Linked DNA regions of Arabidopsis thaliana. The main gene of each other region encodes a partner of the protein of the gene in region 2 in a complex. Each region holds a gene or a part of one and is shown on either strand. Other genes may lie near its edges.

Region 1 (3,684 bases), on a different chromosome or scaffold from region 2:
TTCTCTAAGCGAGTGAAGTAAGCTTACCAGTGGCAGTGAGTGAGCTCTTACCAGTGTTTAGGGTCTTCTGCAATTTTCCTTGTTTTGATCGGGAGCTTGATCAAGACTACTGATGCTGAGATTTACGAAAATTGCCAACGGTCTCTATGTTCCCGGTGACAGTGAAGCTCTTTACGCTTCCAAGTTTCAAGACTCCACTGCTACTTTGACTTCGCCTATCTCGCTGGTACAAGGTCTGTGGAGGTTACAGTATGGGTGATAACCTTTTCCTTCTGCGAGGAAAGCATTGTCTCGGCTTTTACTTTTGTTCATAACTTGTGGATATTGGATAGTAAAGCCTACCACTAATGGCATAACATTCAGGATGCTTCTTGGTGTGCTATGATTTGTTATAAGCGAATCACTCTCGTTGGCTAAACACTTTGAGAAAATGACTCTTAAAATGCTCTCTTGGGCTATACTGGAAACTTGCTGTGTTCAGTGGATCTTCAGGTCCTTGTTGACAACCATTAACAAGCTTAAGGTAAGAATAAAGAAACCAACAATACTTTCAGTCCTTTGATGATTTATAATTCCATAACAGACTAAGGGCAGTGCATATAGATATCTTTCGTACTCATCTGCTTTTTCTGGTCTCCATCACAAAAGCCAACTAGGTAATCATATCAATCTCTCTTTACCGTTTACTCGACCTTTTCCAATCAGGTGCTTCTGGTGTGTCTACTACTATCAGTTTTAGGTCTTTGTATACCTGATCTTATCTGCTACTGAGGCTTGTAAAAGTGATTAAAACTGTGACATTTACTCTAAGAGAAGTAACCTGTTTGATGCATTTCCCTAATATACCGGTGTGGAAAAGTGTAGGTATCTGTACTCAGCTGAAATGGTGGACGATTTTGAAGAAGATGAACTCTCATTGACTGAAAGCGGGTTGAAGAGTGAAGATGGCGTTATTATCGAGATGAATGTCTCCTGGATGCTTTTATTATCATGTTTGGGAATTTACCAAGGGAGAGGTATCAGAATCTATCTTAGAAGGTTACATTTAGCTCAAGCTTGCATCAACATCTTTACTTAGAGCTCTACGGGTTTTAGTGTGTTTGAAGTTTCTTAACTCCTAGTATAATTAGAATCTTCTGCAGCAGACTTTAGAGTTTTGGGATGTAGAGCTAACCAGAGTCGGTTTGTTTAAACTAGAATCTTTTTATGTAGCAGACTTGTTCAGTACCTGAATACCAGTTTTAAATTACCGTCAGATGTTGATCTTGTTGGTAATAATGGAGAAACGGAAGAATAATTAGACGAAACAAACTCTTTAAGAACGTATCTTTCAGTTTTCCATCACAAATTTTCTTACAAGCTACAAAAATCGAACTATATATAACTGAACCGAATTTAAACCGGAGGGAGGGTTTGACTTTGGTCAATCACATTTCCAATGATACCGTCGTTTGGTTTGGGGAAGCCTCGTCGTACAAATACGACGTCGTTTAAGGAAAGCCCTCCTTAACCCCAGTTATAAGCTCAAAGTTGTACTTGACCTTTTTAAAGAAGCACGAAACGAAAAACCCTAAAATTCCCAAGCAGAGAAAGAGAGACAGAGCAAGTACAGATTTCAACTAGCTCAAGATGATCATCCCTGTTCGTTGCTTTACTTGTGGAAAGGTTGATATTTTCCCCTTCGCTTTGGTCTTATTTAGGGTTTTACTCCGTCTTTATAGGGTTTTAGTTACTCCAAATTTGGCTAAGAAGAGATCTTTACTCTCTGTATTTGACACGAATGTTTTTAATCGGTTGGATACATGTTGGGTCGATTAGAGAAATAAAGTATTGAGCTTTACTAAGCTTTCACCTTGTGATTGGTTTAGGTGATTGGAAACAAATGGGATCAGTATCTTGATCTTCTCCAGCTCGACTACACTGAAGGGTAAGCTTACAATGATTCTCACTTCTTGCTGCTCTAATCATCATACTTTGTGTCAAAAAGAGAGTAATTGCTTTGCGTTTTAGAGAAATTAGCCCAGATTTCGTATTGGGTCTGTGAAGTTTCATATTAGCTAACACACTTCTCTAATTGATAACAGAAGCTATAAAATAGATTTGCTGATGAAGGAGTTAGCTTTTTATAATCTTCTGTGTTTGTGTTTTACTGTCTGTGTCATTGGAAGAGACTATGTCCTGCCTATATAATCTCTATGTGCCTATCTAGATTTTCTATACAATTGATATTTGATAGAAGTAGAAAGTAAGACTTAAGGTCTTTTGATTAGACTTGTGCCCATCTACATGATTCTTATTGGACTAATCATTCTTTGTGTGAAAATAGAATACTTTGTCTGAACATGAGAGAATGGTTCATAATACGTGTGAAGTATGGGATTAGTTCAACAATTTCGCTATTGGAGAAGCAAACCAAGGGTTAATCGTTTATAGGGTTAAGCTAATGCTCTGCTCTTTATATGTTATTGGAACAGACTATTGTTGTGCCTATCTTGTTTAGTTGTAGATTCTATCTCGACTGTTATAAGTATGACTGAAGGCTTGATGACTTATGATTCTCTTTACACCTGTAGAAGGATTTAAGCTTGGTGTCTAGATATTCAATCTGTGTTGGTTTTGTCTTTCTTTTGGCTCTTAGTGTTGTTCAATCTCCTCAATAGGTATGAAGTTACAATATCCTTATTATTTTGCAGGGACGCACTTGATGCACTCCAGCTAGTCAGATACTGCTGCAGGCGTATGCTAATGACTCATGTTGATCTGATTGAGAAGCTTCTCAACTACAACAGTATACTCTCCAAACTCTTATCATATGTTGTGTATCTTTTGACTCGGACGTTATTGTCCTTTTCGATTTATTTACTGGTACCCACGTACTTTTCCTTGCAGCTCTGGAGAAATCAGACAACAGTTAGAAGAGGATGCAAATCTGCTGAAAAAGTTTTCCTCTTTAGAGGCTTAAATATTAGTATGTATGAAAACATTTGGTGTATGTGGTGTAGACCCTTCAACTCCATCTAAAATTATATATGTGTGTCAGTTACTTTCTCGTGTGATTCAATCTCATGATTTCCTGACCTTGAAGATTTCTCCTTTGGATTCATGTTTCATTAGTATTATTGAGGTGATTTTCATGGCCATAACTGAAAACCTTTGAGAAAAGAGTTAAAAGTCACTGGTCTTCATAACCTTTTGTATACAAAACGCAAGTACAACAGAATCGTCCAACTGTTTAGTGTGTTCAGGCTCGGGCAAGAGTTTTCAAATCTTCCAAACGAACGGTTAAAATAAAATGTATAACCAAAGAAGAATGAAGAACACAGTGTAATCATATCTGGCTTATGTAACCCGACCCCGTTCTTAAGGGAACATATCACATTCAAATCTCCAATAACGATCCCAAACCACATAAGATGTGTTATTAAGATCCAATTAATCGGGACTAAAACCAATTCGAGAGAACAAACGAACGATGACTCAGTACCCATTAATCTGTCTTCCTGTTGTTGTCGATCCTACCAACCGAGAGAAGGGTTGCTGCTGCGTTTGGTTGTTGCGGCTTTTGTTAAAACTGTTGCTGCTTCCAATTCCAGATTTAGGGTCAGAGAAAGGAGAATAGGCTTGAGCTAGCTCAAGAGCAGAAGCTGCTTTTCCGTGACGAATCCCTGTTCCATTTGGTGAATC
Region 2 (7,248 bases):
TCCTACCGCTCATCGTAAACGTAGGAACTTGGATCAAATTGGGAAAATAGGTACGGTGACGAGGATTATACTCAACCAAATCTTTTATTTCAATTTCATGGAACTTATCTCCCTTGGCAATATAAATATAAGCTTTTCCCTCCTTGTTATAACAACATATTACAAGAGTCAAACCAACTTTATCTTCATCGACGAAGTAACTTGGCGGGTAATAGTTGACACTTAAACTCGACCATTCGGGAACTAACACACTCATCAAATTCACCCACTCTACAGCTTCTCCATCCCCATTTTTAATAGTTTCTTTTGTCACCCAAATCTCTATATTCCTTGTGTTATAGATCTCTTGCTCTAAAAACGAAAATCGATCTTCCCTAAATATCGCAAGTGATCTACCATCGCATTGACGATGCCCGTTTTTAGTAGGCAAGATACAATAGTGTTTGAAGCTCACCGTAGAAAAGTCGAAGCTTTGAATAAAATAATCACGAGACTCATGATTATAAGCAACCCAATACAAATTTCCATTCAATGAAACACTATAAGGCGACATAGATAAATTCCAACTATGGAATGCAAATTCGTAAGATTTCCATGCATCGGATCCCAACTCGGTGACACTAGCATTCATGGTTGTATTTGTACAGTAAGACCCTAAGATCTTGTAGTGCTTGTCCTGTCTACTATTGTCGTATCCCATCCCACTGAAATCATAACCTTCATAACTGGATTTGAACCATCTAATCTGTCTCAGCCATGGGTTGCAAATCCCAATCCCATAACAGGTTGCATAAAGAAATAACCCGTCGCAATATTCGACGTGCATGGGCATATAAAGTTTATAACCGGGAATATCTGAGGGCAAGTTATGCACCTCTATAGATGGGCCGTCAAGATTAACGTCCACCGAGCAAATCTTGGATTCGGCAAGCAAGATGAATTGTGGACGGGCGAGACCCAAATCACTGTTGAAGAACCTCCTTTCCTTGAAAAGAGTGTTCCATCTCTTGCAAACACATCTAAATCGAGCGAGAATTTGTATTGGAAGGTGAGAGAGTATCTCTCCCTCCAAATCATACGGCAGGTCATGATCTGGTTGCATCATACCTTTTTTTTAGCTTTATGATAATATATCAGAACAAGATAATATATAGATGGATGTGTATAACAGAAATTCAATGCTTACAGATACTGCTACTATTACTACATGAAGAATATAATAACTATATATATTAATAGATGGGAAAATGAAGAGAAAAGAAAATTTTATTTTTATTTTTTTAACTTTTGTCCATAAATGATTGTAATTAGGAAAGAAAACCTATAAAAAAATGAATGACTGTAGATATGAGGCAATTAGAAAGAGAAAATACATATAATCTGGATGTGAGTGAGTAGATTTGTATCAGAAAATAAATAATTATACCAAAAGTTAGATAAATAAATAAAAAATATTATCCCTTTTTAGAACATGTTTAATTTAATTTAATATATATGAAAAATATACTTTTTACTTCTTAGATACCTATATTTTTTTTGTCAACAAATTATATAATAATTTAAATAGAAAGTATATTATTTGATTATGAAATGAAGTAAAGTAACTTTAGTCATGGAATAAGTATGAAATCTAGCACTGACAGAAGACTTTCTCTCAGAAAATGTAGGGATAAAAGCAGGACAGCAAAATAGTTACGGAGAAAATGTAAGAGGCTGCAACTTTCACATGTATCCTATGATGATTAGTCCGGTCTTGATGATAATTTTGGACATGCAAAAAGAAGAATCAGTTACGTGTATCGTTCTAGTTTAAATCAATAAATTTGTGAATTGTGTTCTACGAACGTTTTGATGATTTTCTTTATAATCCAAAATCGTACACCCAATATGAACCTAAATGCCGCAAGTGATCACAATTCACAAATTGCTAACCACTTTTCAGAAGCACATATATAGCGGATCAGAGGAGCCACGGATCTTCTTCTTTCAGGGTGGTTACCTAGAAGATCACAAAACAAACGGTATCATAGAAAGCTTGATACATTGTTAAGTCAACCAAAGCCATTTTTGATTCCATGAGTTTGACAATCTACTTGATGCAGATCAAGCAAAGAATGGAGAAGAAGACGGACACATGAGAGCCAATGGCATTAGTATAAGCTGCAGAGAAAGCATTGCAGTTGAGAGGCAATAATCATAACTCACTCACTAAATCAAACAGCTGCAAAATCAGGATCCGAGTATTTCCTCAGCCATGCTTATCATGGTTTGGAGGTAAACAGCGATAATACGCATGAGCCTCATACAGTTGGGAGAAGTGGGAAGGCGTCTGGATACAAGCATGAGTAACAACAACTCCAAAAACTTCACTATCACAAAGAAAAATTCCTGCTACGCCAGAAACTGACTTTTTTGTTTTATTGGCTTAGTGTTATTGTTCAAAGAGAGAATATTACTAAACACATGTGAGAGTGTTGTTAGAAAAGAAACAATTTTTTTGTCTCTGTTTGTTTTATAACTTATTGGCCTCAAGTGGTTATCATCATTCATCAACAGCTCTGAGCTACAAGCATAATTCAATTGGACAGTTAAATATTGGATGTACAAGAGTTGCTTCATGAAAATAGTATTTATAATAGCAAAGTTTAACATAAGATAAAGCTTTTATAAGAAAGCTCTCTGTTAATTCGGTTTTTATGCGAATATTCTCGGAAAGTGATTAGACAATGGCATCTCAAAGCTTCCTCATGAGTAGAAAGAGCCTCTGGTCAAGTTCGAAGTGAGAAATATGAGCTGGATCTCCCTGAAGCAACATCAGGAGCCCCCCGAACGAAACATATAACTCTCTGCAAACACATAATTGCAAGATAGAAACCGAAGCATGATGGTTAGATCTGTAAGTTAAATTGGATCTCTTTGGGAAAAAATGATTTTGTTGGTCTAGGTATATGGGATTCTTACGCTTTTGGAGTTTTGCCGTCACGCTCAGAGATCTTGTAAAGCTTCCCGTGCATGATGTATTCATACTTATCTGCAAGTGTTTTCTTTGCTCCCTGTAACAAAGCGAGATGGAAACTAGATTAGATTAGCTAACAACAATCTTGGTTTCATGATTCAAGAGTCAAGACACTAAGTCTTGCTCAAATTCCACATGTTTACTCTTATTCCTAGATAGGCTTCCTGAATCAAGCCAAAGCAATTGTTCTATTAAGCAATTAGATCAAATCCTAATACATGTTCTTGTAATAGAGCGACATGGAAACTAAATGAATGTTCAAATTATCAAAGAAAACAGTCTTGGTTTTCAAAGATAGGTTTTAATTCAATATTCAAGAGACTAAGTATTGCTCAAGTTTTCATATGATTAGTCTTATTCCTATCTCCTGAATCAAGCCAGTGGAATTAGTCATATCGAGCAATTAGCACTTAATGGTATGCCCCAACCAAAACCTTAAGAAAAGTTAACTGGCCTAACTTACTGTAACCATTCATGAGATTTATCCAAGCAAGTAAAAAAGAGTATGCAATATACACCAAAAATCTAACATAGAAAAAGCATGCAGTACCGGAGTAAAGTATCCGGTATCAGGAGTTCCATCGAGATTAAGCGTGGGAGCCATAGCCAGCGTGAACTTATCACCAACAGCCAATGGATAAACCTCAGTGTTAACATCTAAATGCATAAACATTTCCAAGTTGTGGCTCCTTGCTTCAACACGCGTAACTGTGTTACCACAAACACACAGAGACGCAATCAATTTGAAGTCAGAACAAACAAACTTTAGGAGGCTTAAAATTTTAAAAGTTGAGATCTTTTTCACACTAACTTGGATTCCAATTTATCTAAAACTTAAAACAAACACAAGAAACTAGGATTCATATCAGAAACTCGATTTAAGCCATGACAAGCATTACAAATCGTGACTGAGGTTAAAAAAAAAAGTAGATACCTTTATCGAACTTTTTGCCATCAGGGTCTAGCTTATCGACCACGAAGATATCCTCGAACATGATAATATTGCTCGCCATCTACAAACACGGAGATTCAAACCCTAAACACTCTTAATTTCATGAAAATAATCCGATTCGACTGGCATAAAACAACTATATGAGCATCTGGAGAAATCGAAAAGCTGAATTACCTTCAAAGGAGATAGAAAAGACGATTTTTTTCACCAGCTCCGGAGGCTCAAGAGGCAGAGAGAGGAACGGCGGCGAGAAGAGTGTTAAGGAGGGGCAGAGAAGAAGAGAAGCGAGAGAGAAAGGATTTTTTGTTTTTTACTTTTTCATATTATTACATATATTCCTTGTAGTTTGGTTTATTTACATATTTTCCTTATATTTTTACTTATTACAGAAAATACCCTATAGATTTGTGTTTTTCCGAGACATTCCATGTATATTTTGTTGTTTATTACATATGTTGCATTAAAGGAGAGATCAGAAGTTTGAAATATTGGAGTAGGTGCATGGTTTGCTGAGTATGAGCAATAGTTAAACACTAGTTGGTTTGCAAACTGATTTCAATCGAGCGAGAAAAATTGTTGGAAGGTGAGAAAGTATCTCTTCCTCCAATTCCCACGGCTGGTTCTCTGGTTGCATCATATATTTTTAATGGACACGGTCGAAAAGAAAAAAAAGAGTTTATAGATGGATTTGTATAGCAGCGTTGTTGTTTGCTTGCCTTGTCGGTTTAGGGTTTCAGAAAGAAGGATTGGAAAACCCTATTTCCCATTTTACTCATAAGTCCAACTTTTTTTATTAGGCTTTTGCGAACCCAATAAAAAACACGGCCAGTAATATTCCCATTTTACTCAATCGTGCATGTTCAAGAAAAACGATCATATTCATATCCAAAAAAGAATTATTACTTTTTATTGGCATGATTATTAATAATTAAAAACTGGTGAATGGTTAGGAAACGAATAATATAGAGGGGGTGGAGAGAAGTGGACGCCGAGAGCAGTGAGGTGGACACCAGAGCTTCTTCCGTAAAACCCGATGGCCTTGGAGCCTCGTTCTCCTCGAAGCGAGAAGGGCGTCCCGTTCAAGCGTCCGTACTGTGGCATCATGTCTCCCTTGCGCATCCGAAATGTAATGGAGGTGATATGGCTTTCAGTGTAGGTCCCCTCGACGGCTTCAATGTAGTCGCCTCCAGCGATCATAATCTATGCAAGAAATCCATATGATATGTATGATAAAACTATATATAAGTTAGAAACTAATAAATTAAGAAGTAAGAAATCTCATCACGTCACGTACTTCGTCGTCTGGATTATGTGTTGTCGCATTTCCATGACCTGCTCCGGCTTCAATCCGGTTATATTTGGAGTAGTGAAACTTGACAAAGACCGTGTCAAAATCATTTACTCCTACATTTATTTTCTTCACATTGTGGAAGATGCCGTCGTCCCACTCGTTTCCTCCATCGCTCGCTTGTATTCCTCTAGGGGGTGTGAAGCGGGACTCAACCTGCTGCGTTTTACTTCTATTGCTCATCGTGAACGTTGGAACTGGGACCAAACTAGGAACATAGGTACGGTGATGACGAGTAGGATACTCAACCAAATCGTTTATTATAATTTCATGGAACTTATCTCCCTTGGCAATATAAATGCAAGCCTTTTCCTTCTTGTTCAAACAACACAAATGCGAGACTGAGGGTTTTATCGTCGATGAAGTAACTTGGCGGATCATAGCTTATTACTCTTAAACTCGACCATTTAGGAACTGACACTTTCATCAAGTTCATCCACTCCACAGCCTTTCCATTCTCAATTTTAATCTCTTTTTTTGTTACCCAAATCTCTATATTCCTTGTCTCATAGTTTTGCTCTAAATACGAAAATCGATCTCCCCTAAAAACTGCAAGGGACCTAGCATTGCTTGGATCACATTTTTTATTAGGCAAGAGACAATAGGGTTCAAATTTCTCCGTAGAAAAATCAAAGCTTTGAATAAACTGGTCATCAGACGCCATATGGAAAGCAACCCAATACAAAGCTCCATTCAATGATACACTATAGGACGACATAAAATCCCAATCATATGCAAACTCGTACGGTTTCGAAATCCATGCATCGGATACAAACTCGGTGATACTAGCTTTCACGGTTGTATCGCTATAGGGGCAAGACTCAAAGATCTTGTAATGATTTTCGGGTCTAGAATTGTCGTATCCCACCCCATTGTAACGATAATTCACTTTGGATTTGATCCATCTAATCTGTCTCAACAATGGGTTGCATATCCCAATCCCGTTCTCGGTAGCATAAACCACTAACCCGTCGCAATATTCGACCGTCATGAAGAAACCATTATAACCGGGAATATATGAGGGTAAGTTATGGCTATGCACCTCTATGGATGGAACATCAAGATTAACTTCCACCGAGCAAATCTTGGATCTGGCAATCAAGATGAATTATTGTGGATGGGCACGAGCCAAATGATTATTGATAAACCTTCTCTCGTTTGAAAGAGAGTTCCATCGTTTGCAAACAGATCTGAATAGAGCGAGACACTTTGTTGGAATCAAAGTGAGTATTCTTTCCTCCAATTCCCACGGAAGTTGTTCTAGTTGCATTATGTTATCTGTTACGGACGAGTTTACACAATTACACCCCCATAAGAATATATATATATAGATGAATTTTCTATTAGAATTTTATAGCTTACGTTAGTATACTACTATTACATAAAGATATAACAAAATAATAACAACAATAGGTGGAATAAAATGAAAAAGTAACAATATTAATATACCTTTTTTTTTTGGCAAGCAATAAATTAATTTGTTTTGGATGATAATTCATATGTTATCCTATCATAGATTATTTTTTTAATAAAAAATCTAGTGTTATTGGTTATAATAAGAATTGCTAAATCCAATGCTATTGAACTAATGAATTTGAAAGAGTATATTCAAATCCACTTTTATTGATTTTTTTTTTCCAAGATTGGTCTTTAATGATTTTAAAGTGTTCTAGGTATTCAAAAAAAAAAAAAAGTGTTCTAGGTTATTAGGAAAATTCATAAGTTATCAATTTTACTATATTTACCCAAAATCATCTATAACTCACAAAAAAACTCAAATCATTCAAAATAGATAACTAAATCACCCCCTCATAATACAATAATTACTGTAGATGTAAAAATTGAATAGAAAGAAAATATTGGAACAATTGATTTATGGTAAAAAAAAATGGGTGTTTAAAAAAAAAGAATATATATGAGTTAATTAGATTC

What was found. Proteins that work in one complex are often made in the same cells at the same time.
Region 1: NRPB8B (region 2) and NRPB10 share a complex: the UniProt entries of both Arabidopsis thaliana proteins name them as parts of the RNA polymerase II.

The regions. Positions count from the first base shown.
Region 1 is NC_003070.9:3,860,891-3,864,574, forward strand, and holds NRPB10 (RNA polymerases N / 8 kDa subunit), read left to right. Parts: upstream 1-1,508; 5' UTR 1,509-1,629; coding exon 1,630-1,665; intron 1,666-1,868; coding exon 1,869-1,927; intron 1,928-2,693; coding exon 2,694-2,788; intron 2,789-2,889; coding exon 2,890-2,915; 3' UTR 2,916-3,184; downstream 3,185-3,684. Other genes in the region: AT1G11480 (eukaryotic translation initiation factor-like protein), read right to left, coding at 3,478-3,684. UniProt on the Arabidopsis thaliana protein: DNA-dependent RNA polymerase catalyzes the transcription of DNA into RNA using the four ribonucleoside triphosphates as substrates. Component of RNA polymerase II which synthesizes mRNA precursors and many functional non-coding RNAs.
Region 2 is NC_003074.8:22,013,410-22,020,657, reverse strand, and holds NRPB8B (RNA polymerase Rpb8), read right to left. Parts: upstream 4,283-7,248; 5' UTR 4,143-4,282; intron 4,030-4,142; coding exon 3,951-4,029; intron 3,725-3,950; coding exon 3,567-3,724; intron 3,054-3,566; coding exon 2,962-3,053; intron 2,847-2,961; coding exon 2,735-2,846; 3' UTR 2,297-2,734; downstream 1-2,296. Other genes in the region: AT3G59610 (F-box family protein / jacalin lectin family protein), read right to left, coding at 1-1,105; AT3G59590 (jacalin lectin family protein), read right to left, coding at 4,890-5,168, 5,263-5,628, 5,708-6,400, 6,465-6,491. UniProt on the Arabidopsis thaliana protein: DNA-dependent RNA polymerase catalyzes the transcription of DNA into RNA using the four ribonucleoside triphosphates as substrates. Component of RNA polymerase II which synthesizes mRNA precursors and many functional non-coding RNAs.